4 linked regions of the Schizosaccharomyces pombe genome follow. The gene in region 1 interacts genetically with each later gene. Each region holds a gene or a part of one and is shown in the gene's direction. Other genes may lie near its edges. The genes, in order: pof7, pmc3, tls1 and rrp8.

The links.
Region 2: mutations in pof7 (region 1) and pmc3 together harm fitness less than expected from each alone (positive genetic interaction), as found in Schizosaccharomyces pombe (one large-scale study listed by BioGRID).
Region 3: mutations in pof7 (region 1) and tls1 together harm fitness less than expected from each alone (positive genetic interaction), as found in Schizosaccharomyces pombe (one large-scale study listed by BioGRID).
Region 4: mutations in pof7 (region 1) and rrp8 together harm fitness less than expected from each alone (positive genetic interaction), as found in Schizosaccharomyces pombe (one large-scale study listed by BioGRID).

Annotation. Positions count from the first base shown.
Region 1 is NC_003421.2:2,368,353-2,376,734, reverse strand, and holds pof7 (F-box protein Pof7), read left to right. Parts: upstream 1-3,397; 5' UTR 3,398-3,655; coding exon 3,656-4,741; 3' UTR 4,742-5,221; downstream 5,222-8,382. Other genes in the region: U3 associated protein Utp25, read left to right, coding at 657-2,615; SPOM_SPCC70.10 (uncharacterized protein), read right to left, coding at 5,375-5,842; protein mug9, read left to right, coding at 6,945-7,086, 7,143-7,627; SPOM_SPCC70.08C (methyltransferase), read left to right, coding at 8,099-8,115, 8,166-8,382.
Region 2 is NC_003424.3:4,488,756-4,492,442, forward strand, and holds pmc3 (mediator complex subunit Med27), read left to right. Parts: upstream 1-1,650; 5' UTR 1,651-1,780; coding exon 1,781-1,855; intron 1,856-1,892; coding exon 1,893-1,956; intron 1,957-2,081; coding exon 2,082-2,159; intron 2,160-2,205; coding exon 2,206-2,627; intron 2,628-2,676; coding exon 2,677-2,859; 3' UTR 2,860-3,187; downstream 3,188-3,687. Other genes in the region: sorting and assembly machinery complex subunit Sam50, read right to left, coding at 29-1,351, 1,433-1,537; tif471 (translation initiation factor eIF4G), read right to left, coding at 3,338-3,687. UniProt on the Schizosaccharomyces pombe protein: Component of the Mediator complex, a coactivator involved in the regulated transcription of nearly all RNA polymerase II-dependent genes.
Region 3 is NC_003424.3:635,827-644,341, forward strand, and holds tls1 (splicing factor Tls1), read left to right. Parts: upstream 1-3,565; 5' UTR 3,566-3,584; coding exon 3,585-4,349; 3' UTR 4,350-4,572; coding exon of another isoform or gene 4,573-5,121; 3' UTR 5,122-5,170; coding exon of another isoform or gene 5,171-5,358; 3' UTR 5,359-5,454; downstream 5,455-8,515. Other genes in the region: CwfJ family splicing factor mug161, read left to right, coding at 1-350, 408-488, 559-1,133; peptidase Oct1, read right to left, coding at 1,197-3,485; grh1 (GRASP family protein), read right to left, coding at 4,573-5,121, 5,171-5,358, 5,455-5,575, 5,622-5,801; autophagy associated protein Aut12, read right to left, coding at 6,059-6,305, 6,392-7,686.
Region 4 is NC_003424.3:1,137,212-1,145,142, forward strand, and holds rrp8 (rRNA methyltransferase Rrp8), read left to right. Parts: upstream 1-3,397; 5' UTR 3,398-3,409; coding exon 3,410-4,366; 3' UTR 4,367-4,791; downstream 4,792-7,931. Other genes in the region: dolichyl-phosphate-glucose--glycolipid alpha-glucosyltransferase Alg10, read right to left, coding at 1-520; protein ema19, read left to right, coding at 1,355-1,906; UBA domain protein Mud1, read left to right, coding at 1,919-2,122, 2,237-3,031; methylenetetrahydrofolate reductase Met9, read left to right, coding at 5,904-7,715. UniProt on the Schizosaccharomyces pombe protein: S-adenosyl-L-methionine-dependent methyltransferase that specifically methylates the N(1) position of adenine in helix 25.1 in 25S rRNA. Required both for ribosomal 40S and 60S subunits biogenesis. Required for efficient pre-rRNA cleavage at site A2.

The DNA of each region.
Region 1 (8,382 bases):
GTGGAACTAATTATGAGTTGCAGAACTTGGCGAATTTGAATTTGGATTCGGTTAACCCCAAGGTGGTGTTTTTTTTTTTTCAGCCCTACTTTATTTCAGCTTTTATTAATGTATCGTTGGTTTTGGCTTTTTAAAGGCTGTTTTATTTAATTAAAAAAGTTTGTGTGGACCATAACCGTCATTTACTATAAGCATTGCAGTCTATGTAATTTCCTTACCTTTTTTTGAAACGGTTTGAGAAAAGATAAATTTTTAATCGGTCACTATGAAACATTTGTTGGCAGACTGCCCACAATCTTCCGTGTCCGAGTGTCTGAAATTTCTGTAGATGTAGCATGCATATAGTTATACTCTAGGTTTTGTTCTTGCTTAAGCGCTATTTATTTTGTCTTTAATAATAATAATAATGATAATATCAATTAAACTTTGTGTTCGGAAGTACTATATTATAAAATGATTAGCTTCTTGCTGATTTGCATTTTTTTTCGCCTACCACTGTTTACAGTTGAAAATAACCAACTACTTTTGGGGTACCGAAAGCTGGAAAATTTACGAGTATTTTCTTCGAGATATAATAAAAATATTTTGAAAAAATATTTTGTTTATTTCCTCTTTCAGCTGTTAGGCTATAACTTGATTTCATCAAATTTGCGAATATGGCAATTGAAAGTGATTTAGACGGTGCCTCGATGGATGAATTGGCTGGAAAGTCTTATGAGGCTTTATTATATCTTATGAATAAAAATAAAAAGAGAAAACCTGAGAAAAAAGATGATAAAGAAAAGTCATCGAAGAAAGTACAAAAAAAGAACAAAGTTATTGAAAGTTTAAATGAGATGGAAGTTGAAATGGAAGATGAAAATGAAAACGAAAACGATGAACAAGAAGCAATACAATATTACATCAATGTTGAATCTCAGGATGCCGATGAGACTTTGCACCAAGAAGCTCAAGATTCATCTGAAGACCCATTTCATCAACACTTCGATTACGATGACTCAGAAGTCATTAAAAATTCTATTGCTGCTTATGATGAGGGAAAGTTATGTAAGTCTATAGAGGAATCCAAACTTGGAGTGTCACAATCGTTTTTTCCGGATGTGACCAAGAGATTGCCTTGCTCGTGTCTTAGCGAAATAAAGAATATTGATGATTTGGGACTAAAGCAGAGGATATTGGACTCCTATAAAAAGCAAAAGCCATCTGGGCAACTTACATCCATGCAAATTGAGTTAGCGAAAGCAATGTTCAATTATCAAGATGTATTCTTTACTAACATGTCCATGAAAAGCCATAAGTTAGGGACTTCACTCTTGGCGCTTCATGCTTTGAACCATGTATTCAAAACAAGAGACCGTGTTTTAAAAAATAGTGCTCGCATTTCTCAAAATCCTGAATTAGAATTTCGTGATCAGGGATACACCAGGCCTAAAGTATTAATTCTTTTACCCACAAGGAATAGTGCTTTTGAATTCATTAATTTACTTATTTCATATTCTGGGACTAATCAAGTAGAAAATCGAAAGCGTTTTGATAATGAATTCTCGATTGAAAAAGAAGTCATTTCAGAAAAAAAGCCAGAAGATTTTCGTTATCTTTTTTCCGGAAATACCGACGATATGTTTCGACTGGGTGTTAAATTTACAAGAAAAACTGTCAAGCTATTTTCCCAGTTTTACAATTCTGACATTATAGTTGCTAGTCCTTTGGGACTTCGTCTTGCTATTGGTAACAAGGGAGATAAAAAGCGAGACCTCGATTATTTGAGTTCGATTGAAATAGCAATGGTTGACCAAGCTCATGCTCTCGTGATGCAAAACTGGGAACATATTGAATGCATTTTTGATGAACTTAATGGTTTGCCTAAAGAAGCTCACGGTTGTGATTTCAGTCGTGTTCGTCCTTGGTATCTTGATCAGCAAGCCAGATATATGCGCCAAACTATACTATTTTCTCAATATAACAATCTAGATATAAATTCTTTCTTTTCTCACTACATGTCAAATATTGCTGGTAAGGTTAAATTTCGCTCGCTTCTTCACGGTGTTTTAAACCGCTTGGGGTACAAAGTGACTCAAACTTTTGTTCGCATTTCTGTCGATTCTATTATTAAAGTTCCAGATGCCCGCTTTTCCTATTTTACTGGTTCTATACTAGTACAACTAAAGAAGTATTCCCAGAGTGGTATTTTAGTTTATATACCTTCATATTTTGATTTTGTTCGTGTGAGAAATTACATGGATGAGGAGGGAATTAACTATTCTGCCATATCAGAATATTCGAGTGTATCCGATATGACTAGAGCCCGCAATCTTTTTTATCAAGGTAGAACCAATATAATGCTATATACTGAGCGCGCTCACCATTTCCGTCGATTTGACTTTAGGGGTGTAAAAGCTGTTGTGATGTATGGTCCCCCAACGAATCCTCAGTTTTATGTTGAACTTGTTAGAATGCCGATGAGAACCATCTCTGAAGGAAACCTTGACAGTGATGCAGCAAAGTGTAGAATTATGTATACAAAGTTTGATTCTATTTGCCTGGAAGGCATAGTGGGATATCAGCGTGTATCAAACATGTGTCATGGTAAACATGAAGTTTTTGAATTTCTTTAAAAGAATACGAAAAAAATTTTTTTAAAAAGGAATTAGGGGTCATTTGGATTTTTGGATGAAAGAGCTACAAAATTACTACTTTAAAACAATAGAATAGCTTAAAATGTACTTTATTTGGACCATTCCGCTTTGCTTTATTTATTGAGAGCGAATGAGTAAATAGCTACTTGAATGATTTAACTTGACAGTGCTTTTTAAATGTTTTCAATATATAATTTTTTTTATACTTATTTCAAGATTCATATAGCGATTGGAAGGCATCGTACATTATCAATGAGTTTGGTTTCGACTGTGTTCCCGAAACCATATCTAAATCTCAATTGCTTTTGACGAAGATATGCTGAGAATTATCCGAAAGCAAAGCGGGATATGTATCTACTCGTTTATTAACAATAAAAATCGCTATCATATTCACCATAAATAAATGCAGTAATGCTACATGAAGCTGGTAATTATTACAATAATTCATCAAATCGAAATGTTTTCTATATCGCTAAAATCCTAATATCCACTTAGCTTATTGCCAAGTAACTTTTGATTTGAACAAGTTTTAAGTTTATGTAATGGTTTCGCAAGTCCTAACGCCTTGTTAGAAGTGATAGAATCGAAGACACCTACAAATATGCCCATAGCCAAATAGCATCTCAAACATGTTACAATATTTATCTAGTCCATTTTTTAAACAGTAAAGAAGCGACGATTGACTCAATTTAATCTTCTTCTTCTTGTTATCAAACCGCCACAACTTGATATTAAACGCAACGGCTAACTACCCATGAACTAAACCATATTGTTACCAAAGTAAGGTCTTGTGAAAGGATGCTTTTAATCCTTAAATCCTTGTTAATACTTTGCTAGGAATTGTATGAAAAGTAAAAAACATAAAAGTCATTAGTTAGGTTCAGCACTATCTTAACCTCTTAATATTCGTGTTGAATTCTTTTTTTTTTTTTCTATTTTGAGAGAAATAAGTAAGAAAATATTTTCTTTTTCAATTATACATCTACTTTCGATTGCTCGTCTGAGAAATAAAATAAGTGATGAGTACAGTAGAGGATCAACTTTCTCTTGAACTTGAAACAGTGAACAAGGATATACTGTTGAAAAAAGCACTTTTACATTACAAAGATGCTATAAAATCTGAAAGAGAAGGAAATTTAGGTGAATCTCTTAATAAATATCGATTAGCTCATAAAGTCCATGAAGATGTGGAATCTATCTATCGGCGTTTGGAGCGTTTGCAACTGTGTAAAAGAAATGAAGAGGAGGAAATGTTAAATTCAGATGCATCAGAAGCTATGCTCACTGTTTCCTCAGTCCCATCTCCAACGTTAACGGAAAATGAGTCTGTAAATGAGTCGGTCGTTCCCAATATACTGAAGCTTCCCGACGAGGTTTTGCTAGTTATCCTAGAGAATTGCATTAGGGACCTTCATGATTTAAGATATCTCTCTTCAATTGCACTAACTTGTAAGCATTTTGCGAAGGCATTACGAGCAGATTCTCTATATAGATCGTTTTGTTATTGCAGTTGTGAACAAAAAGAATGGCAACAGTCTATTAAGTCAATAGAGGAAGAACTCGTGGAAAAATACCAGCAAAGCTGGAAGACTTTGTTCCTTAAAAAGCCTCGATCTCGTTTTGACGGATGCTACATATCCGTTTGTCGATACTTTCGACCTGGAACTAGTGACACGAGCTGGAACCAACCCATACATTTGATCACATACTACCGGTATTTACGACTTTATCCTAATTCAACATGTATCGTTTATCAAAGCAGTAATGAACCAAATGATGTTGTTCGCAACTTCAGTGTGCAAAACACCAGTCTTTTTTCTCCTATGTCGAGTTCTCCTATGTTTAGTAATGGAAACGTAGCACTCACTGGCTCCTGGTCAATGACTCCTTCTGGAGAAATGCTAATTGTGTATCCCGCAAGTCAAACTTATACATACGTTCAAAAACTTCAAGTTCGTGGAATAAGGCTTAAGTGGATTTCTTTCTACTCCATCCATAATTATACCTCATTCACGAACGAAATGCCACTCACTCACAATCGTGACTATGTTTTCTCCAGAGTATATAGCTATACTGCTGACTCAGAGTCACTAAAACGTGGCTAGTCTTACTTTTTGGAATACTAATTTAGAAACCGCGGAAATGATTAATTATCTATTATAGGTCGCATCGTGAGAGGATTTAAAGAAATTATTTTTTATTAATATTAATGCCATCATTATTCTTCGCATGGAAATATATCATTAACATACATTTACAAATGAACAACAGATGCTTAACAAATTTTTGGAAGTACAAAGTTATAAACAATCCTAAGTCCAAGGAAACATGCGTGATACTTGAGGAGAAAAGAGTAAATAGAATGCACAAAACTTAAAAAATAAAAGAGGAAAACCCACGAAATGGAATATTAAACGTATCAGTTTCTTGAAGTCCAGATCGAATATTCATAAAGAAAACCATAAAACCATTCGTAATCATGTTCGTAAAAAATCCCTGCTTTTTTACCACAAATAAATAAACTAAAGGCAACATAAAAAATCGCCATATCGAAGCATTGAATGACAAAAGTAAAACATGGAGAAATATCGGAGAGCAATAATTCAACATGAAGATTCCGTTTTAAAGTTAACAAACGGATTTATTTTGGATAATAAAATTAAAGTAAATTAGTTTCGTAAAGAGAAAAAGAGAAAGGATTAACGAAACTGTAGAAAATCGCTCATTTCTATTCAAAGCTAAACCATTTCCTCTGGAGGTCTGTAAACTGGTGGTGGTGAAGCTGGTCGTTCGTGATTTACAGCTTCGGTTGCTGCAGGGCTTGCTTCATTTTGGGGTGTATTGCTTGCAGTAGCAGCTGGACTATATGGAGGTGGGACTTCTTCAGGCAAATTTTCAGAAACGGTAGTAGTTGTATTCGGGTGTGCCATTACATGTGTATACCGAACAGAGCCACGACGAGGTGAGCCAATTGGAGATGTATATACAGTTGCAGGAACGTATGCAGACTGGGGAGATGTAGGTGAACGGCGAGGAACTGCTGTTGCGCCAGGCCTAGCGCGAGCTTCTGCCATGGGGCGTGTAGTTGCTGGTTTGGTCTGTCCAGCCCTTGCCTGTCGACGGCGAACAAAAAATCTATTGATCGCCATTCCAATAGCCGCAATTAAAGCTGCGATGACAAAACCTGCAGCGACAATGAAAAACATATTCTATTTAATGCAAAAGAAAAAATGTAAACCGAAAATCAACCTAAATCCCGTAAATAATGAAAATTTGTAATTAGGGTTGTGATGTGGAAAGGATAGATACTGTGGTGTTGTAGCGAGGCTTATTCACCATATCAAGAAACTTATCAATTTATCGCTGTTTTAAATAAAAATTACCTATTTTCTTTAAAGAAAGAATAAATTGATAATACTGAAGCTTATATGCTACCGCGCAAAGAATTCATCGCTTTCTATGAATTGTTGAAGGATAATGAAATCATTGAACTGACCGTTGAAATTTTGTTGACGAAATAGCGTTGTTATGACCGTATCGTGAATTGAGCCATTCAAAATTTAGTTCTTTAACCTTCTGTTAGAATCGACAAGAAGTTTCTAAAACGGAGCCTAATTAATTGCTAATCGATGAGCGATATCGTAGAGAACAATACTATTAAACAAACAGGAACCAACAGAATTAGAAACTCTAAATAAATAGAATATCAAAGAATACATATTGGCAACTTATTTGATTTCGAAAATAGTCAAGGGTGACCGCTCAAGCAATGAGTATTGAAAAAGATGGAAGCTTCTAGGTGCTTCAACATTGAACAGGAGTATCTAAATATGATTTAAAGAAACATGTGATAGTATTTATTTGCAATTAAGGAACAAACTGAAAACTGCAATCGTTCGGCTGAAAATTACTCGTTTTATCCACGGTATACAAGTACAACATTTCAAACTGTTCAAGAAACATTCGTTCTGATATATTGTAAAAATTTATTCGTTCAAACTTAATGAATTTTTATTTTTACAACATTAAGAGTTCAATTCTTTCCTTTTAGAATACTCGGATCATTGCCAACAAGTAAAATTCAAAACAAACAATTTGAGGTCATAACAATTCATCGTTTTTATAACATCTTAAAAACCTGAATGTTGGTTGTTCGTAAGTTGGGCTTCATTGATTTTTAGAGGATTCGTGCTAGCACCCGCTCTGAGTATAATTAAAACGCGCGACGCGGTTTCAACCTGCCTTCAACCACACAGTTTCTAAAGTTTTATTTATCCAGGAATTGATTGAATTTTAAAGTCAAACGCAATGAGAAAGCAAGCAGGTGGTCCTTGTGAGAAACTAAACTTTCCTTTGGTGGAATTGGAACCGTATGCACGGGTAAATCGGGAAACCACTAAACTAAACAAAGCGCATGTCCGTCGTGATTATTCGGGAAGAAGTATTTGTCGTAAGTTGTCACATTTTATAATCTTACTTCCATGTTCTCACTAACATCCTTTCCAGAGCCGGATACGAATAATCCCACCCGGTGGAAGTATGAACGACCCTTAGAAACCATACGCGCTTGGCAAGACGTCGCAGAGGGAAAAGTTCCTGCCAGTAATGAGAAAGCTGCTCGAGTCTCAAATTTGAAAACTGTGCCATCCTTGAAACGTGAAAACAAGGAAGTTAATGCAAATTCGAAACCGCCAGTGAAACAGCAAGAGGTGATAGAATCAACTGTAATATCGAAATCTCAATCGCCTTCTGTTAAACAATTGAAACTTACTGAATCAACTCTGTTGGCTCCTTCAAGCTCCTTGAAACCCTCAGTGAGCTTAAAGAAAGACATTTCTTCAAATTTGCTATGTGCGGCTGCCAGTAATGGTTATTTTCGCAGACCTGCAGCCATGCGTGCTCAAACATTAGTCCCCATTACCCAACCTGATTCCAAAAAGAATGAACTTAAACAAAAGTTCAAACATCTGGTTCATCATGTTTTGACTTAAATTAATGCTTGTATTCAAACAGTGCCTATATGAAGACACTATAGAAACACAAACTTTTTTAAAATCTTATAATGATTTCTTAACTTTTATGAAACCAAATTTAATGTACTGCTTCTTGTTTTATGACCTTGTGAAACGATATCTATTTATTTATTTCTTTAAACTGTCTTAGCGAAAAAAATCATTTTAAACTACATCTATTTCAACTTCTTTCTCGGATTTTATTCTTAAAAAGTCACCTCTTCCTGTTCAAAAGAAATTTGGAACCCCTAACCTTTATTGTTTCATGCTGTTTCTAGTTATTTGAACTACATTTGAGAGCCGATGATATTGATAACATGATAATACTAGAACCACGTTAACACCGTATCTAAGATTCATCTTCAATATAAGGACAACAATTATTATTATATATAGAAGATATTTTTTTGTTACTAGTTCGTGAATTTTTTATAAATTTCAATCATCATAATGCCTGAGGATTACTGGTAAGCATGCATTCGTAATGTGTTAAATATTAACGCCAGAATTGAATTAGGTCAGCAAAGGACTATCAGCGAAATGCATCTTTCGTTCCAAAACTGACGAAAGACATTGTTAAGAGAATAAACTTGTCATCGTCTGATGAACTTCTTGATTTGGGTTGCGGCGATGGTGTTCTCACCAACGAATTAGTTTCGCAGTGCAGGCGGGTGGTAGGTATTGACGCGAGTCCGGACATGATTAAGGCTGCTCGTGAACTTGGTTTGAATGCG
Region 2 (3,687 bases), on another chromosome or scaffold:
TAAAGTAAAAAGTTAAAAAGGAAAATCATTACATGAAATCGATACCCGCGCCGAATTGCAGGCCTTTACGACCGATATCCTTTTCGGTAGTAGCGATTGGTAAGGTAAAGTTCAGCTCGAAACGCGCAGCGGGAGTTGCATAGACTAAACCTAAGCCTGTAGAGATACAAGGCTTAGAAAGTATTGATTTGTATGTGCCACATGGATTTGGAGAAGTCAAATTCGATAGCCCTCCAGCATTCGCAAACAACTGTAAGCGAAATGGTTTAGAAGCATCAACTTTTGGCAAAGGGAATAGCAAGCTCATGGAGAAAGCCATATATGCGGTCCCGCCTAAAGAATCCCTGCCATCTTTTGGACCTATACGGTCTTCTGAAAAACCACGAAGGCTAGTTGAACCGCCTAACATGAAACGATCACACAGACTGACTTGCTTCTTATTTAGACTATGCAATGCTCCAATCCGGGCGGACAAAGAAAGAGAAACAGACCTAGAAGAATTTAAAGCCACAGCTTTTTGACCCCAGAATTCTGATTTTAGAAAGCTCGCATCTCCTGGAAGAAATCCGAACCCAGCGAGCTCTAAAGTCTGCCTCACATAATCTCCCTTCGTGGGTATCATAAGATGATCGCGTGTATCGCGTGTATACGTATAGGAAAGAGATTGTTTTAATGAATCACCGGCCTCAAGTCGTACGCTTGGAGAAGCATATTCAGTGAGATGAGTAACTTGCCTCCACAATAAGTTTTGTGAAAGTAAATGCTCGCCAGACCACAGATCTTGATGCTGCAATGAAAGCGTAATTCCTTTAGTAAGTAAGTCATGGCTCGAAATAGATTTATTGTCTCTCAAGTTACTGTGGCCATTGAATCGTAAACGGGTTTTAGGATCTGCGTTTACTGGGGTCTCAAAGTTCACGGACATGGTAGACCGATTACGAGTTCCATATGAAACGTTACCAGAAAGAAGTTCAGCTCCTCCAAAAACATTTCTTGCAAGAACATTAGCATGTACATTGCCTTCAACGTTACCAACATCAGTGCCGGTTTCTACATATAAACGTGGTTTCTCTTTTACTTGAATGGTAACATCAAGATCATCATCTCCAGAAACAGAAGAGCTAGCACGATCTATTTTAATATTGGCAGTTTCATAAACGTTGAATGCCATCAAATTCCCAGTAGTTTCTTGAATAGCATTTAATGTTTCAAGCAAAGATCGACTTTTGGCCGGTTTCGACGTATCCAAACATGTTTTCAATACTTTGCGAATGAAACTTGGCCTAGTATGATGTGCACCAGTAACTCGAATGGAAGAAATACCCACTGGCAAAGTGCTATTTTCTGCCAACTGATTGATGATGGTTAGTATAAATTATGGTGAATTAAAAAAAAAATAGAGACGAAAATTAGATAATAAAACTTAACTTACAATTTCAGAAAGGCTCTTAAATGTTTCCTCAGCTGAAAGTTTGCTTTCTTCGTTCACGGCGGGAATGTCAGATGGAAAAGAAGTTGACTCAAATTGTTCGGTCATATTTTCAAATTTCCTATATTTTGAATATAATAACAATCTTCTTTCTCAATAGCACTGGGGTTGAATTATTTTTTAAAGGTTTTTAGATGAATGTAAGTTCGTTAATGACAGCCGACATCTTACCATCTACTATTTGGATGTGCCGATTTTTGAATTCTCTCCATTTACCATCAATATTTATTTAATATACGCATTGTTAATTTTTTTTTCATAATTATTTTAAGTTTGTTAAGGCTACCAGAAATGTCATTAGAAGAGCAGCGTACAAGAGATGAATTAAAGCACAAGCTATTGGATTTAAATCAGCTTCACGAACAGGTTTGTCTAATTTCAGAAGACATTTTATTAATTTTAGCTTGCTGAATTAAGAACTATTTGTCCATCCCTTTTAAAATTATTACATCCTGAAACCGGCACAAGTAAGTAATTGTTTAAATAACTAAATTCTTTAAGAAAAACGAGTTAAAGTTTACACTAAGGGAAAATGATATGATGATTATCTTTCATATTAAATTTAAATTTTGCTCGAGTACTAATTAATTAGGTCGGAAATTTGAGAAAAGTGCTCAAGAAGCGATTGAAAAAGTAAATTCCTTTTATACACATCTTAAATCCAGTCAAAGTATGCATGCAAATTATTTTTAGCTTAAATTTTTGCTAATTAACAGACGTTTTTGATTATGCTGAAAAGTCTTTACAAGCCGATTCCTCTAATTTGCTCCCTACTTATTTATACAATTCAGAAGATTTGTCTAATGATACCGAAAATAATGAAACAAAATCCATTAATGGGAAGTCTGCATTAGACTTAAAGGAGCCGCATCACAGTGAATTGCATGATAATGACAATTTCCAAAATTCGGATATAAACATAGAGTCTTTTAAAGGTGATATTGAGGCTTCAGGGTCTATTCTTACAACGCATGAAAACAAGTCTTTCACTTTGAAACTAGCAAACGAGCTAGAGTTTATTTTCTTTCATGATACTAGGGGGAAATTTAGTGTTTATTGTTCATCTAGCAAAGACGATGCTATTACTTTTTCAATTAACCGTAACAACAACTTCCTTGGAAATTTATGGTCTCTTATGGTATGTGTTTTTGAGGTTGTTAGACAAAACCTCTGCTAACCGTGTGTAGCCTAAAATACTTGATTATCAGCATCTTTATTCTAAGCCGTGTGACTTTTGTAAAAGTCTCATTTCTCCTGTGTACCTGGAGCTTCCTTCTGTTCGAAGAAACGCAAACTCAACAGTGAAGCCTACTTCTAAAGATATATTAGCGTTACATGCAGAATGCGTGCCGGCTCAGTCAGATTTGTGAAACACTAATTTTGATATTCAAATGAAATAAGACGTTCATAATTGCCATTTTTGCTTCGTTTTGAGCTTGAGTTACAATTATCACTTTCAAAGAAGTGCATTTCAATCACATGCAGATGTTGGAATAAACTCAATGTCTTCTGACTCCTTGATATTTATAATTTCCAAATCTTGTTGGACTACTCAAGCCTGTTCTACAAACTTCAAATACCTTAATATATCATGGTTTTGTATACTAAAAATTCAAAAGTACTACTCTTTTAGTGATATAGATACTGTAAATTGGGCTATGCGTAACTCAATGAATGAAATTAAAATTTTCCAAAGCATTTCTCAATTACAATGTAGAGAATGTATTACCTTATACTATAAAGTCCATTTCCCGTTAACCCTGATAAATGATGGATTCATCCATAGCAAAACAATCAAAACAAACCAAAAGATGAAAGACTTAAATTACAGATTCAAATCCGATTACTTTACGAACTAGTTTTTGAGTTAGAATCTTTTTGACCCCCATCATTATCATGGTCATGCTCTTCAAGTAATTCGAAAGAATTAGCAGAAGTAACCGCGACGTTAGATGGTGGTGCACGAACAGACTGTTCCCTTCTTAAGGCACTGTTTTGACGAGAAGGCGTTCTACTAACGCTTCCACCTTTAAGCATTGAACTCAAACTTGTGGGACCGTGAGAACCCTGAGTACCAGATTTGAGACCTCTTATACCTTGTCCAAGTCTAGCATAACCATCTTTGTTATTAGACCAATCACTAGAGCTAAATGGTGGATTGCTTCCTCGACCGCCCATCCGAGAATCACCACGATTCA
Region 3 (8,515 bases), on another chromosome or scaffold:
TTTCGTGGCTTTGGCCCCTTTCAAAAACTCCAAAAATGAGAAGTTTTCATACGCTTTTACTCTCTACCCCTTGACAACTGAGTACATGCAGCCAGCTCCTCCTAACTGTACTGCTTCTCCATTTGAGCATAGGCCAATTCCCTTAAAGCGTGCTTCAGAAGATCAAATTATTCCCCAGCAAACAAATAAATTCCATAAATCTAAATCAAGCACTGCTCTCTTTAAATCTAAAAAAGATTCTAGCTCGTCCCTCAACAAAATGCACAAGTCAGAGTCACATAGTGCACTCAATAATTTGCACAAGTCCGAATCAGGCACTTCGCTCAATAATAGACGGTCTAAAGTTGGACGTGAGTTCCGCTTCTTATCTCTGCGTTTTTTCCACCGTCACTAACTTCTTTTCTCAGCCGGGTCATGCTTCTTTTGTTTGAGTAATCCAAATGTTGCACTTCACTTAATAGTCGCTATTGGTAACGAAGCTTACATGGGTACGTTTATACACTCCAATGTTTGCGACACGCTGTTTAAATTTTACTCTTTTTTATACTAACGACTCAGCGTTGCCCAAAGGCCCTCTTACTACCACGGCATCGAATACCCCAGCTTTAGCTTCCTCTGGTCATGTTTTGATTATACCAATTGCGCATGCTTCTGCTTTAAGTACTTTGTCGGACACCTCATATGAGAAAACTTTAAATGAAATGAATCGATTTCGTAAAGCTGTAACTGATATGTACAATGCTTGTGATTCCGATGCTTTAGTATATGAAATTAGTAGAGCTAACGGAGTTCATTTGCATTGGCAAATGATTCCCATCCCCAAGATTTCCTCACATCGTATTGAATCAGTCTTCCTTGAAATGGCAAAGGAAGCTGGTTACGACTTTGAGGAAAGGGATGTAGAACCTCATGAGCTGAACTATTTCCGTGTATTTCTACCCTCTGGAAAAATCTTAATTCATCGATTACAACTAAGAGAACGATTTGATTTACAGTTTGGGCGACGTGCTGCTGCAAAAATTTTGGGTCTTGAGGATAGGGTTGATTGGAGAAAATGCGTTCAGACAGAAGATGAAGAAAAAGCTGAGAGTGAAGCTTTCAAAATGTGTTTCAAACCTTACGACTTTACATAAATTTAGTATTTCATTATAATTCATAAATAAATTATTTAAATTCATAACTGGAACATCATTCCATTAAAAGGTGGACGTCGCTTTAATACCTTCACTTCCTATTCGACGCATGGCCTCTTCGCCGCCCGTTGCTAATATAGGTTGTTCAAGGGCTTCTGCAACACATTCCCATGGGCTTCTACTGCCACCCCATCGTAGGATGGCTTTACGAAATTTCTCACCAGCCTCACGGCTTAATGGATTTCCAGCAAAAAGTTTACTAAAGATTAGCGAAGCCAATACCGTATCAAAAATGTATGAATAATAAGTAGCGCTATATCCATAAAGATGACTAAACTGAAGATACCAAGCAGCAGGTGGAGCAGACTCAAACCCACTGAACTTTCTGGTTACATTAGTAACTTCATCGATAGAATTAAATGACGGATCTAAGACAACCTTCGAGTGAAACAATTGATCCACCATAGCCATACAAATTTGAGATTGTAAATCTAAGGGTGCTGAACTATTTTCAACCATGTTATGATGGTTCAAAACTTGTACAGGTAATGGAATCTCAGTTCCTTCGTAGCGAGCATAAAGCGGTAATACGGCTGGATTTGACATAAAAAACTCCATAATAATTGAAGGAAGTTCAACAAAGTCGGTTGCACAACGAGTTCCGGCTAAGTTCTGATATTTAGTATGACCTAGAATGGAATGCATGGCATGCCCCATCTCGTGAAAAAGTGTTTTCACATCCCACAAATCTAAAAAGGTAGGATCCATTCCACTAGAACGTACGAAATTACACAATAACGAAATGACAGGTATTTGATACCGTTTGTTATCCTTGACCCTTATATTAGTAGCATCATCAAATCCAAGACTTATAGAATCGTCAAAGCTTGTCAAGTCTAATTCCCGAGAAGAACGAATTGTAAAATGAGCAGCTCCATCTGTTTTTCCTGTTCGAGCAAATAGATCGAAATAAATTACACCCATTACATGATCATTTTCATTGTAAACATTGACCTTATTTACATCAGGATGCCATACCTCACCAGGGGAAATGTCCGCTGGAACAAAACGAAGCCCATATAAAGAACTAAATAGTCTAGATAGACCTTGAATAACTGTACCAACAGAAAAAAAACGCCGATAATTCGTTATAGAAGGGTTTAAAGAAGGCTTTTGATTTATAAGAGATTGTTTATAGCGAGCAGTATAATATTCCCTGTCCCAAACATCAAATGATGGAAGAAAATTCAAGTTTAACTCTTTTTTCTTCATTAACGCGAGATTGTTTAAAATCTTTTTTAACACGGAAGAATTTTTTAATGATAAGTTCTCTAAAAATTCAACAACATGTTTAGGAGCATTAGCCATTTTATCTATAAGTTGTAAATCTGCAAAACTACTTTTTCCCACTAGTTTCGCAACTTCCGCTTTAGACCTCAAATAGGAATTTAGCAATTCGACTTCTTCAACTGTTCCTTTATGACCTTCCATGTAAATTTCTTTCCTGACGTCGGGATTTGCTACACTAATCAAGGCCTGTGTACCTTCGTATCCAACAGTTGGAATCATAATAAAGTTTTTGTCATTCTTAGAGAGTGAGCGTACAAAATATGGGTCCGAACCAGCCAGACGTTGCTTAGAAATAGTTAAATAACGCTGAGGACGATTCATGCTATTATTAAAAAATGCTCTTCCAAGAGTTGCAGATTCAGAGGACTTTTTAACAAAGGAGTTTCTTTTCGAGCTCTCTAAATTTACGCCCGATTTTTCAAAATCTTGGAGGAATACTCTTCCAACAGTATATGCTTCAGGATCTGTATCTTTCAACGTAGGAGTCTGTTGTAAAGAACACTTTAATTTTTCGTAAAGACCTTGATGAGTGTTTAAAGTGTTCATCAGCTCAAATAGATAACTGTAAGCTTCTTCTGCTTTCATTACCACCATCTTGTCAGGATGGGCGCAGCGCACAAACTCAAAAAGGTCAATGACACTGCATAGTAAGTTAGAAATCCTGTCAAATTTGCTGACTACAATTGACCCGTCTTCAGTATCCTCGAGCAAAAGATCCTCAATCACGGCCTTACATTTTTCAGATGCAGTTTCCGCGAGCCTTAGGAAGCCGGTATCTTTGTCGGAAAGGAAGTGATTACGAAACAATCCTACTCCCTGAATTCCATTTCTTTTCGTTATCTGGTTCACAGCTATATTCTGATCATCAAAAATTTGACGCAACAATTGGTCTTCCGCTTTGCGACTTTGAACATTAGAATATTTTCGATAAAGACTAAGAATGCACTGCCTATTTCCAATTACTTTTTTTTTTCCCAATGTAAGCAAAGTTCTTACTTGCATCGTAATATGCGACAAATTTTTGGTACATGTACAGGCTATATGAATGGTATATATTTCCAGGAGGGTTTACTTGAAATACCAACCACAAAAAGTATCCGCATGAATAGTATACATATAAAAAAGAAAAGCAATCGATCGTTCAGAAGAAGAAAAGTTTTTGGAAATGAAAAAGAATTTGATTTAGAAGAATTAGATGATAATGATATTCGTCTACGGCAAGCTTTGGAAGCTACTAAGAGGCGAAAAATTAGAAATTCGATTATCGGGATAAATGCTGAAAAGTTATTAAATCAAGAAACAAAAAAAGAGAAACAATTGAACACTGCTAATGAGCCTCATGAAGCTAATGATCAGACCTCAGCTCAATCGTCGAAACTTATAGAGGCGCAACTTCCAACCGTCGAAGATAGGTTTGCTAAACAAACAAACGAGGTTGACATCAACACGCATTTATTAAACTTTGTTGAAAAAAAACTGAAACAGGAAAGGTTGGCCCAAAACTACTCAGAAAATGGAGAGACTAATGCACTTAATACAAAAAATGAATCGACGGTACAAAACATAAAAAATTCCTTACATCCAAATGAACATTCATTTATTAGAGATGCAGCTGCTCTTGGTGCTATACGTGAAGTAGATTTAGGGATTATTAGTACCGACGTTGATAATTTGAAAAATGGTCGGAAACGACAAAAAAAAAGAGCAAGAATGAAAGAAAAACTAGACTCGAAGGCTCTTCGCACCTCTGAGGACGCTGCTCGGGATGAATTTATTGAAAAAATGTTAAAACCGATATCCCAAGATGAAGAAAGTAAGGGAATCTACAGGCGTTTTCGCGTTTACAAGGATGGAACTCAGGATTAACGATAATAAAAAAGAAGCAACAGTTTGGCAAGGTTCATTAATTCAAATTATTTATTACATTTTTTGAGTAATCAATTCGGATAAAGAGGTTTGTTTGTGTTTTATAAAATCCTTACTCAAAACCTCAAATGTTTATTTATCAAAAATATAGTTTTGTAACTTTTAATCATTATGGGCATTAAAAAGAGGGCTTTTGCTAGAAAAGACGAGCTTAACTAAATAACTAATTTTTCACAAGTTCTTCATTTTGAGGCGCTGATTCATCGTTTGTTGAATTAACAGCGACAGGAGGAGGAGGAGGCAAAGGAGTTGTTTGGGAATCGTTAGTAGAAGAAGCGTCTTTGGTTTTATGATCCAATTCTCTGCTTAGTTTTTCTTCTTCATCTAAATATGATTGAATAGAAGAATCTTGGATAGCGCCTTTATGAGACTTCTTATGTCTTTGATAGTGCGGGATAGATATTTCATTGCTAGATCCAGCATTAGCAGAAGCGATTTTAGGTGGTTCTGGAGTAGGCAAAAAGTTTTCAGTTTCACTGGGCTGAGACACTTTATGATCTGGACCCCCCAGCATGGGATTTGAAAACACAATGTCCCCAGGTTGTGGAGGAGGTCCTGACAAAGGAGCGGGTAAGCGATGCAAGACGCCATGTCCAACACCACATCCAATAGCTCCATTACCTCCCCAATGACGATTTGGGACAATGGTAACTTGACGAGTGGAGTCGCGATAATGATTGTAGATATACAGGCGTAAGGGTCTGTTGAGATGCTGTTAAATTGTTAGTCAAATAATTTATCTTAGCACATAATTTACATACAGACTCAATTAGGTCTGAAAGCGCTTTTTCTCCTGTCATCATTCCTTCAGGAGTTCCGACGATATAATCTTCATACGGAACAAGGCTAGCTCGTGCAACAGGAGAATCGTCTATAACATTCAAAATATGCCAAATGGCATCCACGGCAGGAGCGATTGATGCCCACTGTAAAACCATGCCAATTTTTTCTGTAGTCGTTAGAAAATTTATTTGTATTCAATAAGCGTTCATAAAAATACATCCAAAAAAGATATAAGAATCGTTAACCGCAGCTAGAAACTTACCGTCACTGTTAATTTTAATATTAACTTTCCTCGTAATTTGCCCTTTTAAAGAAAATACTTCTAAAGTTACTTCGGGGGAAGAATCACGAAGCAAAGCCATAAACATTGAAGGGTCTCCATTCTGTGAAAAACACTTTAGTAATGATAAAACTATAATCAGTTCATACCAGTAAGATCCCATTCACTGCCGTTATAAAATCGTAATAAGACTCAATTCTGGCATTATAGGCTTTCGAATCGTTTTCAACCTTTAATACTCTGAAACCACATGATTCATCTGATTCTCGATGAATACCAGCTAAAGCTTCTGATTTTTCTTTAATAAAGTTCTTTAAACCACCAAACATTTCGATTGTTTAGTACTTAAATAGGGTTGGTGGTGATTTAGGTAATGGCGCGGTTGACTCGCTATGATATTAAGTTCATACAGTCGGAAATTTATGTGAGTAAAATGATGCTGATATTAATAAATTAAAACAAAAAAAGGAAAAAGAAAAATTAATAAAGCTGTTGGAAGCAATCACCGCTCTTTTAAATATTTTACTGTCAAAACATCATAAAAAATAAAAAGAAATGAATTTCATTAAACTTTACATGCTCATTATCAAAACGAAAGGTTTGTTTGTATAAATAATCGATTCTCCTCCCTTCGTATCCATCTCAAAATCTTATTAACATTTGCAATAAGCAGTTGACTGCTAGTGGTAGCGTTAGCAATACAATGAAAGTCGAACGATGCAGTTGACCACGTGAATAGAAGCAAAGATTCATGGACAGTCATATTAATTGAGAAAGAATTTTTTTTGTGAAATGCCTGGTCGTGTAAGCTAGCATAAATAGCATAAAGAGTTCTAAAAACATAGTTAGCAAAGCAAATGAGCCCAAAGATAGCGATCGTATTGAAATTGTAAAGAAAAATAGATCATTGTATACGTACCTAGTATTGAAATTGGGAGTTGAAAATGAATAGCCAGGAGTATAAAACTGTGAGTATTTCTTTGAATAAAACAAGTAATGTGAAATACAAGGAGATCCGGGATTCCTTGGCGTAGTTCTATCCATTTCTTCACAATAAATGAGCTTTTTCAACCATCCATGATCCTGAATTTCCTGAGCAACTTTGCATTTCACTGATTGCATTTCAAAAAAGACACCACTTTCGCTGCTCCCCATTATCAAGACAGTGTCCTTACATAGGAAATAGCTATAAATGTAAATATAAGCATCTGGATTTAGAGTAGGAAAACAAACAGGCACCCAATGCTCCATTGAATCATTAAAAGACTGTGTGCGGAAGAGTGATAGGAAAAGTAAATAGAGATCATTAGCATGTAATAAAAGCTTCTTCGCCTTAACCATACAAACAAGCCGACCTCGTATAGCTATAAAAGTAAACAGCAGAGATTTGGGTGTTTCTCTCAACAGCAGTTGCGACAGCTGATCACGAAAAGAGGAACGTAAAGGAAGAGGAGATATGGCATTCAATGTGGGGACTAATTCATAATCATTAAGTTGATCACATAGTTCTTTTAGGAACTGCTCGTTGCTTCCAATAAGTCTTCTCAAATCAAAATTTGGGCGGGAGTTTAAGGTCAGCTGCATAGCTTTCGCAGTAACCCCAGTAAGTATTTGGCAATATAAGAGGTTTAACTCACTGAGTAAATATGCTGCGCTTAAAGTTGTCGATGGCGATACGCCAACAAGATAAAGAGGATTTTTGGAGAGAACAACGATAACATTGGAAAAGGTAGAAAAGCTTGTTAGCTCTTCTTTCGACACTTCGAAAGAGCTAATAATTGCTTGTAACGCGCCAACGGTTGATGGCTCAATTGAATCATCAACAATGTTACTAAACACGGGCTTCCCTGATGAAGAGAATATCAAATATGTGCGCTTTTGTTTTGCCAAATCAAAAGATATCAACGAAAGTAGTTTTATAATTTCATCAACAGCCGTATTGTTACTACTGCTCGATACTGAAGTGCTTACATTAAGCGGAGAGGAATTATCATGCAATATATCAGAAAGTAATTGTTCAACGTTTTCCACGTGGCTTCGCAATTCTGGTGTAGACCTGCTTACTTCTTGATCATCCTCTGACACCGAAGGCGCTGCCATTAGAACATTACCAGGGTTTAACAGCAGTGATCCACATTCCGACTCATGAGATCTATGAACGTTATCATTTTCCACTTCCTCCTTGATTGATGAATGCTCAGATGTTGGTTCCATCAACTGGCTGTTTTCATTAGTGGGATGGATTGAATAAGGAGGACTGTAGCTGTTGTAATAATGCTAACCTCGCTTCATTCACTCATTTACGGTTAAAATTAAGGGAAAAGAAGGCGTTTTAAATATTTTGCTTTTTATTGAATAAAAAATAATTATTGATTCTTTAAATAAATGTTGAAACTCAACTTTGCGGTGCAATCATAAAGATATTGTGCCGAAGATGATTTCGTACCTAGTTGTATAGGTAATTCAAAAGGGAAGATTGGAATGGCTGAGTCTTCGGCAAAGAATTTCATATTACAACTAAATGGCATTCAAGATACGTTTACATGGAAGTCAATTGTATACAGAGAACAGTACTGAATTTAAAATAAAACTAATAATTACACGTTCTATGAAATGTACGCGCTCTAAACTAAGAATACTCTTTGGTTAAGAAATTAATGTTAAAAAGCGCTTAGAATATAGCGCTAGATGTATTACTACAAACTGTTTATATTGAGTTATTTAGGAGTGATCACTGATCTATCGTTTCAACTAAAATGCTGCTTATCCTTGACTTCTCAAGGTCTAAGGATGGTATTCACATTTAAAGATCTAGAAACTTGTTGGCTAACTTTTCGAGATGGTTCCATCTAATATTGAATAGAATTGAGATTTGCGCATTGGTTCTTTCAATATCTATATTGCTCCAAAACAAAAACATTAGTCTAGTACTTGTAAGAAAACACAAGTCATACAGGGAATCGAAAATAAAAAATCAGTTGAAATCTTTAATCGACGCTTCATATTTCATTTTGAGCAATAATAAAACACTCGATTAAGCCAA
Region 4 (7,931 bases), on another chromosome or scaffold:
CCATCCAAACGATATTTGTCTGTCGAAACCATAGAGAAAAAAAACAAGACACAGAGCTTGAAAAAGCAGACTTTCGGAGAGCAAAGTCATAAGCAAGAAGGACGAAAAAAGTACTACCAATATCAGTGTAGTATAAAAATGAGAAAAACCATAAAGGAGGTAATGACGATAACGTATAAGCGAAATAGGTAACAACATCTCCTTTCCTATTATTCAAAAGAGAAACGATATCGTTTATAAGCCATGGCAGTCCAATTACGCCTACAAGCCAGTTTATTAACCTCAGAGATACATTGCTGCAGCCTATAAATGGGCTGAGTGCGACTGAAACCAAGTATAAACCAGGAGGTGTAGTAATCGCCGGATCCCAATCCCAATCTTTTCTACAAAAGCGTTGAGCTTGTGCAATATGGAATATTTCATCCAAGTAAGGATTAGGAACATAGTATTGTATAGCTAGAAGACCTGTAAAAGCTAGAAAAATCCATAGTATTAGAATTATAGCTTTTCCAAGAAACATTGTCTGTGTTTTGGGTCTTTAATGAAAGTTTATAATAAACGAATAAAGAAAATCAGGTTTTGATAAAGGGCGCACCTTTTACAAACAGCTTTTTATGTTCGCTTGTTTTAGACCCTATAACACAATTTCCAAAACAAACGATCAACTTTTCGAAAGGTGTGAATTAAATTTCGCTGAGGTTGTTGGCAGGAAGTTTGGAATTCAAATGCTTACAATATAGCAAGAGTGGGAGAACAATGTTTTTACATCAAATTAATTGAATTTCATGATTTTATTATTAGTTATCTAGAGAAAGATAGCATTCTAAAAACCATTCAACATTATGCACACTTAAGTACGAAATGTGACGAGTCTGTTTTTTATATTTAGGCTGCTAATTGCATCATTTTTTTTTAAAAGAACTGATAACATTGAATTTCATTTAAATTTTAATACTTGATAAATTTCATAGTAATGTGGTCTAACATTATCATGTACATGAAGGCAATTAAGCGGTAATACTAACTAATTAATGAAATCTGCCTGAGGCTTTTTAACTTAATATTGGCACACAAAATTACTCGATATACTGATTACCACCAATATGAAACTAAACAATCGTCTTCCTATTGCTTGTAAGTGTAACATCTAACGTATTGTTTTTATAAAACTATTTAGACGTAGTGCTCTAAAACAAACACGATAATACATTATTAAGTAACGTATATAGAATACGCAGAGAAGCAGTTGTTATTAAAAATACTAATAACTTTCAATGTCACCGTTTAAAATTGTAAAATTGTTTTCTATAGCAATTCAAAATCTCTGAATGAGGAATATCAATGTTTTGGGTTCATGAAAGTGGTTTCATTACGCCGCATTTATAGTAGTGAGATATACAAATTGCCAACCACACGCCTTCACATGGATACCTTGTATTACTATTATTTCGTAAGCCATCTAGCTGCAGCATTATTTGTTGATTTACCTATAACTGAATGGCTTGGAGGCTCTTTAAGCTGTCTTTCTGGTTTGCGACGCTTTTATTTATCTACATATGAAGACCCTATTCTTTTAATCCCTGCGCCTTGGAAAACTGCATTGTTTTCTTCAGAACTTTTCTTTCAAGTTCCTTTTTTTATTTGGGTTTCTCTACGCTTACGAAAGAAAGCGAGGGATCCAGTTTTATGGGTTGCAATTCTCATATACGGGGTGCATGCTTTTACTACGACATGGTGCTGCATGTTCGAGTTATTTGCTGAAAAAAAATGGATGATAATGAGTTTTTATTTTCCTTATTTGGCCATTCCTTTATGGATGGCAATTGATATGGGTGGCCGATTAGTCAAGTCGTGTCATGCTGCCAAATCAGGTCCTTCCTCTACCATAACCTCAAAGAGTGATTAAGAAAACACAAAAATGAATAATTTAACACCAGAAAATATTCGTCAAACGATTTTAGCAACTCCTTTTCTATTAAATCGAATACGCACAGAGTTTCCTCAACTAGCTGCTGTCCTTAATGATCCCAATGCGTTTGCTACTACATGGCAGTCCATTAATGCTTCTCAATTATTGCAGATTCCTTCTTCTACATATTCGATGGGAATGCCTTCATTTTCTGTACGTTTAATTTCGCATAATAGCGCCCGTATAAACTGCTGAGTCCAATAATTTAGTTTTAATGGACACAATAAATAAAGGGCTTTCGAAGGTGATTTACTAACATTTTTGTAGGAAGATGACCTCTTTGATGTTGAAGTCCAACGACGTATTGAAGAGCAGATTCGTCAAAATGCCGTGACCGAGAATATGCAATCGGCAATAGAAAACCATCCTGAAGTGTTTGGTCAAGTTTATATGCTTTTTGTAAACGTTGAGATTAACGGTCATAAGGTGAAAGCATTTGTGGATTCTGGTGCTCAAGCTACCATTTTGTCTGCTGATTGCGCTGAAAAGTGCGGTCTTACCAGGCTTCTTGACACTAGATTTCAAGGTGTCGCTAAGGGCGTAGGAATGGCTAAAATATTAGGTTGTGTTCACAGTGCACCTTTAAAGATTGGCGATTTATATCTTCCATGTCGATTTACTGTTATTGAAGGTCGGGATGTTGATATGCTACTTGGTCTTGATATGTTACGCCGTTATCAAGCTTGTATAGATTTAGAAAATAACGTTCTTCGGATTCATGGAAAAGAAATTCCTTTTCTTGGAGAATCTGAAATTCCAAAATTGCTGGCTAATGTGGAGCCATCTGCAAATGCACACGGTTTAGGTATTGAACCTGCAAGTAAGGCGAGCGCTTCTTCACCTAATCCACAAAGTGGCACTCGTCTTGGTACCAAAGAAAGCGTAGCACCCAACAATGAGGGATCTTCCAATCCCCCTTCCTTGGTAAATCCTCCCACTGACCCCGGTTTGAACTCCAAAATTGCACAGCTAGTCAGTATGGGATTTGATCCATTAGAGGCTGCGCAGGCGTTAGACGCTGCGAATGGAGATTTAGATGTAGCTGCTTCTTTTCTCCTTTAACGACTTAATTCGATTTCGGGGAGATTGGATATACATAATCAATGATTTTAGTCATGATAAAAATTAGGGAAATGATTATTTTCAAGATCGGTCCTGTTCTACTATTGTAGACGAATTCTTTCAAATTAATGTGTTTTATATCATTTTTTATGTGTTTTGTATCAGAAAGTAAAAATTCTATATATATGCGTAATTGCTTAATCAAACTGAGTTTTATATTTCAAGATTAGTTTTTTCAAGTATTTGTTATTTTAATTTTACGTTCACAAAAAATGAATGTTATTTATTTTAATACTTAGAAACTTTTATGGTTTCATTGGTTTGACGTACGTAGGATGAAGTTTTCTTACAACCAAATTTAATCTTATTCCCTACTTCATGTTTAAAGTAGATTGGGACTTAGGTCCAGTAAGTAAAAGCGCATCAGACCAAACGAAAGAATCTAGAAAAGAAAAAAAAAGAAAGAAAGGTGAGAGAAAGAATGTAGGAGATAAAGGCGAAAAGCTCAACGAAAAAGTTTTAAAAAAGGCAAAGTCGGTTACCACAAACAATTCCCTGAAAAGCGAGATTAAAAAAGAAAAATCAGTCCCTTCTATTAAAGAGAAAAACAAGGGGGATGCTAAGCATACTAAGTTAACGTCTCTTCAACAAAAAATGAAAGATAAACTAGATGGTGCCAATTTTCGATGGATAAATGAACAATTGTACACTACGGAAAGTGACAAAGCTGTACAAATGTTCAAGGAAAATCCAGATTTGTTTGATATTTATCACGCTGGTTTTCGATATCAAGTTGAAGGTTGGCCGGAAAATCCTGTTGATATTTTCATTCAACATTTAAAGATCAGATTTGAGCATTCAAACGCAAAGAAGAAAAACAATATTGTAATTGCTGACCTCGGTTGCGGAGAAGCTAAAATAGCTTCTACATTTAGAAAATCACGTTCTTTGCAAGTGCACAGCTTTGACCTTGTTGCTCCCAATGAACATGTGGTAGCCTGTGATATTGCGAATGTTCCAATGGCTGACGAAACTGTCGATATTGCTGTATTTTGTTTAAGTCTTATGGGCACCAATTGGCAATCTTTTTTGAAAGAAGCTTATCGTATTCTTAAAGTCGGTGGTTTACTTTGGGTTGCTGAAATCAAAAGCAGATTCTCTGATAAGAGTGGAGAAGTTTTTGCTAAAGAACTTCCAAAATTAGGCTTTGAAACTAAGTCCATTCAGCTTCAAAACAAAATGTTTACTCTGTTTGAGTTCAAAAAAGTACCTGTACACGGGAAATGTGAAGAACTCCCTCCCATATTAAGTGCTTGCATTTACAAAAGAAGATAAACAAGGTATTGTTTAGGAAAGAACTGGTCTTTCGGTATAAGAAGGTTTGGGGCTCTTGTATAATAGGTTTTGTTTTAAATTTTGGGATAATATAATATTAAACGTTTACTCTTTGTCAATCGGAAGACGGACTAACGGAAGAACGATAGGTTTATCAATATCGCATGAGAAAATAGGTTATATATTTCAGAAATAACTGTTTCGTTAGAGCTGTGAATATTCGCAAAAGCAAGCAAGAGTCACAGGCTGTGTCTAATCGTTGATAATGAAAAATATAGCTATACCAAAGACCCAAATGCTACATTCTAATTGATGGAGTAATCTATTGGCTGGCTTGTCATATCAAATCATTCATCATTTATTTTGATAGTGCATGGGTTAGACTTTGAGTAATTATTAGATTTTTTTTTAGAATATTAACTTGTGCTATATTAGCATCCTATATTTGATATGTACCTCTAACTTGTAAGTCAAAATTCACATTGAAACAAAAAGCAAAATTCGTTTATTTTTGAAGACAACATTACGAGTATCTTGTGAATCGATAAAACATTTGAATTTAATCCATCGCGGTCAAAGAATAGAAAGAATTTTCCATCCAGTATATTAGTAATTATTAATTATAGGTAGCTCCAGCAACTTATTCATGTAGCACACATATTTAGTTGCCTTAAAGGATGAAACAATGACCAAATGCTTCATTTTTTTTAGCGCTTACAAACTTACAAAGTCAATTTTTTAAAATTGCGTGAACTCTTCTTTCGCGAAGCGAAGGCTGGAGACTACAAATGATATTCATTGAGCACGAACACGACTTTGGTTTAAAAAATGGTACATGAAAATTATTACCAGAATGGGAAATGAGTAGCGTACTAAAACATTTGTTTGTCAACAATACTTGAATTAAGTAACGTTGTGAGTACTTTAAAACGCATTTAAATTGCAGCTATGAATTTTGCAAGGAGGGAAATGATCATTTTTAAATTGTTCAATCATATTACGTTTGGTATACCGATTCGACGTTTGTTTTATCTTCTTCCTTGTAATGAATATTATGCCTTAGTATGTTTGTTAAATAATGTCAGCAATACTGCACTACGATATGACAACTACGTTGCGTATCACTATATGTCACATGTTCAACATCATATCATAGATATCCGTTGATAACTATTTAGAAAGATTGTAAATAGAGCTACTGCTGAACCTCGTTTCTGAGTTCAATTATGAGCTATATTAGTGATAGGTAACATTATAACCCAGTTAATACAATACCTATACTCAGTTGCTACTCAAACAACCTGTTTATTGTAATATAAAAGATCACAAGGAAAACTCGCCGCAGTTCTACGTATCCTTAAATCAGATACCAAACTGCGTAGCTGACAGTTTAACGTATATTAAGGTTTATAATAATAGCTCATTAACGACTTATTACGAGGCAAAACCATGAAAAGTGGAATGAAAACGAAAAAAAAGACTTTGCCAAGAGCCCGCTATTTTGTCAGTAGTTCATTGTTGAATTTGAGAGGTAAAAATGAAAATAAGTGACAAATTACTTCACCCGGATTGGAAGGAAAAAGTTACTTACAGTTATGAATTTTTTCCTCCAAAAACGAGCACTGGTGTCCAAAATCTTTACAATCGTATAGATCGCATGAAGACTTGGGGTCGTCCCATGTTTGTCGATGTGACTTGGGGTGCTGGTGGTACTTCTTCAGAACTGACTCCTGGAATCGTTAATGTAATTCAAACAGATTTTGAAGTGGATACTTGCATGCATTTGACTTGTACGAACATGTCCACAGAAATGATTGACGCAGCTTTGAAACGGGCTCATGAAACAGGGTGTCGTAACATATTGGCCCTTAGAGGTGATCCTGTTAAAGATACAGACTGGACTGAAGGCGAAAGTGGATTCCGGTATGCTTCAGACTTAGTTAGATATATTCGCACACATTATAATGATGAATTCTGTATTGGTGTAGCTGGCTATCCAGAAGGATATTCACCAGATGATGACATTGATGAAAGCATAAAGCATCTGAAATTAAAAGTCGATGAAGGTGCTGATTTTATCGTTACTCAAATGTTTTATGATGTAGACAATTTTATCGCATGGGTCGATAAAGTGCGTGCAGCAGGAATAAATATCCCTATATTTCCGGGCATTATGCCTATTCAGGCATGGGATTCCTTTATTCGGAGAGCGAAATGGAGCGGTGTTAAAATTCCCCAGCATTTTATGGATACTCTAGTCCCAGTTAAAGACGATGATGAAGGAGTCCGTGAGCGTGGTGTTGAGCTCATAGTCGAAATGTGCCGTAAGCTTATAGCTAGTGGCATTACGAGACTTCATTTTTACACTATGAATTTAGAAAAGGCCGTTAAAATGATTATTGAACGATTAGGTTTATTAGATGAAAACTTGGCTCCTATAGTGGATACTAATAACGTCGAGTTAACCAATGCTTCCAGTCAAGATCGTCGGATAAATGAAGGTGTACGGCCCATTTTCTGGCGCACTCGTAATGAAAGTTATGTCTCGCGTACTGATCAGTGGGACGAATTACCGCATGGTCGTTGGGGTGACTCTCGTAGCCCTGCTTTTGGCGAATTTGATGCTATTAGATATGGTCTTCGTATGTCTCCCAAGGAGATCACAACATCGTGGGGGTCTCCTAAATCTTACTCGGAAATCGGCGATTTGTTTGCCAGGTACTGTGAAAAAAAGATTAGCTCCCTCCCTTGGAGTGATCTTCCCATATCCGATGAAGCCGACTTGATTCGGGATCAACTTCTAAGTATGAATAGAAACGCTTTCCTTACTATAAATTCTCAACCTGCTCTTAACGGCGAAAAGAGTTCACATCCTGTTTTTGGATGGGGACCACCTAATGGTTATGTTTTCCAAAAACCATACGTTGAGTTTTTCGTTCACCCCTCACTCTTGAATGAACTCAAAGAAACCGTTAAAAAGCTTAATTCAGTTTCCTACTTTGTTACAAACAAGAATGGAGACTTGGATACCAACTCACAATATGAGATTCCAAATGCGGTTACATGGGGTGTTTTCCCTAATCGTGAGATTATCCAACCTACTATTGTCGAGTCAACCTCTTTTCTTGCTTGGAAAGATGAAGCCTATTCATTGGGCATGGAATGGGCTAATGCATATAGCCCTGATTCAATTTCTCGTAAACTTTTGGTTTCTATGATGAAGGAATGGTTCCTTTGTGTCATAGTTGATAACGATTTTCAAAATGGGCAATCTTTGTTTGATGTTTTTAACAAAATGAGATCTTTAAAAGACATCCATCCTGAGCTATATTATGCAAATGCATCATAAGCTGCTAATAGAAGGATGTTATCGTACAAATTTTTTTTGGTACGTTAGGTTTTTTTTGGGGCTTTCCTTTTATGACATTTAAGATATCAATCTTTAATACTCTCTTTCAACAGCATGGTTTAAATATTTTTTGGGATTTTATAATATACATTCCTATCTTTTCTTTATAGACTTCTAATTCCTCAAAGCATTGACTTTCAACAGTCAACATTCTCT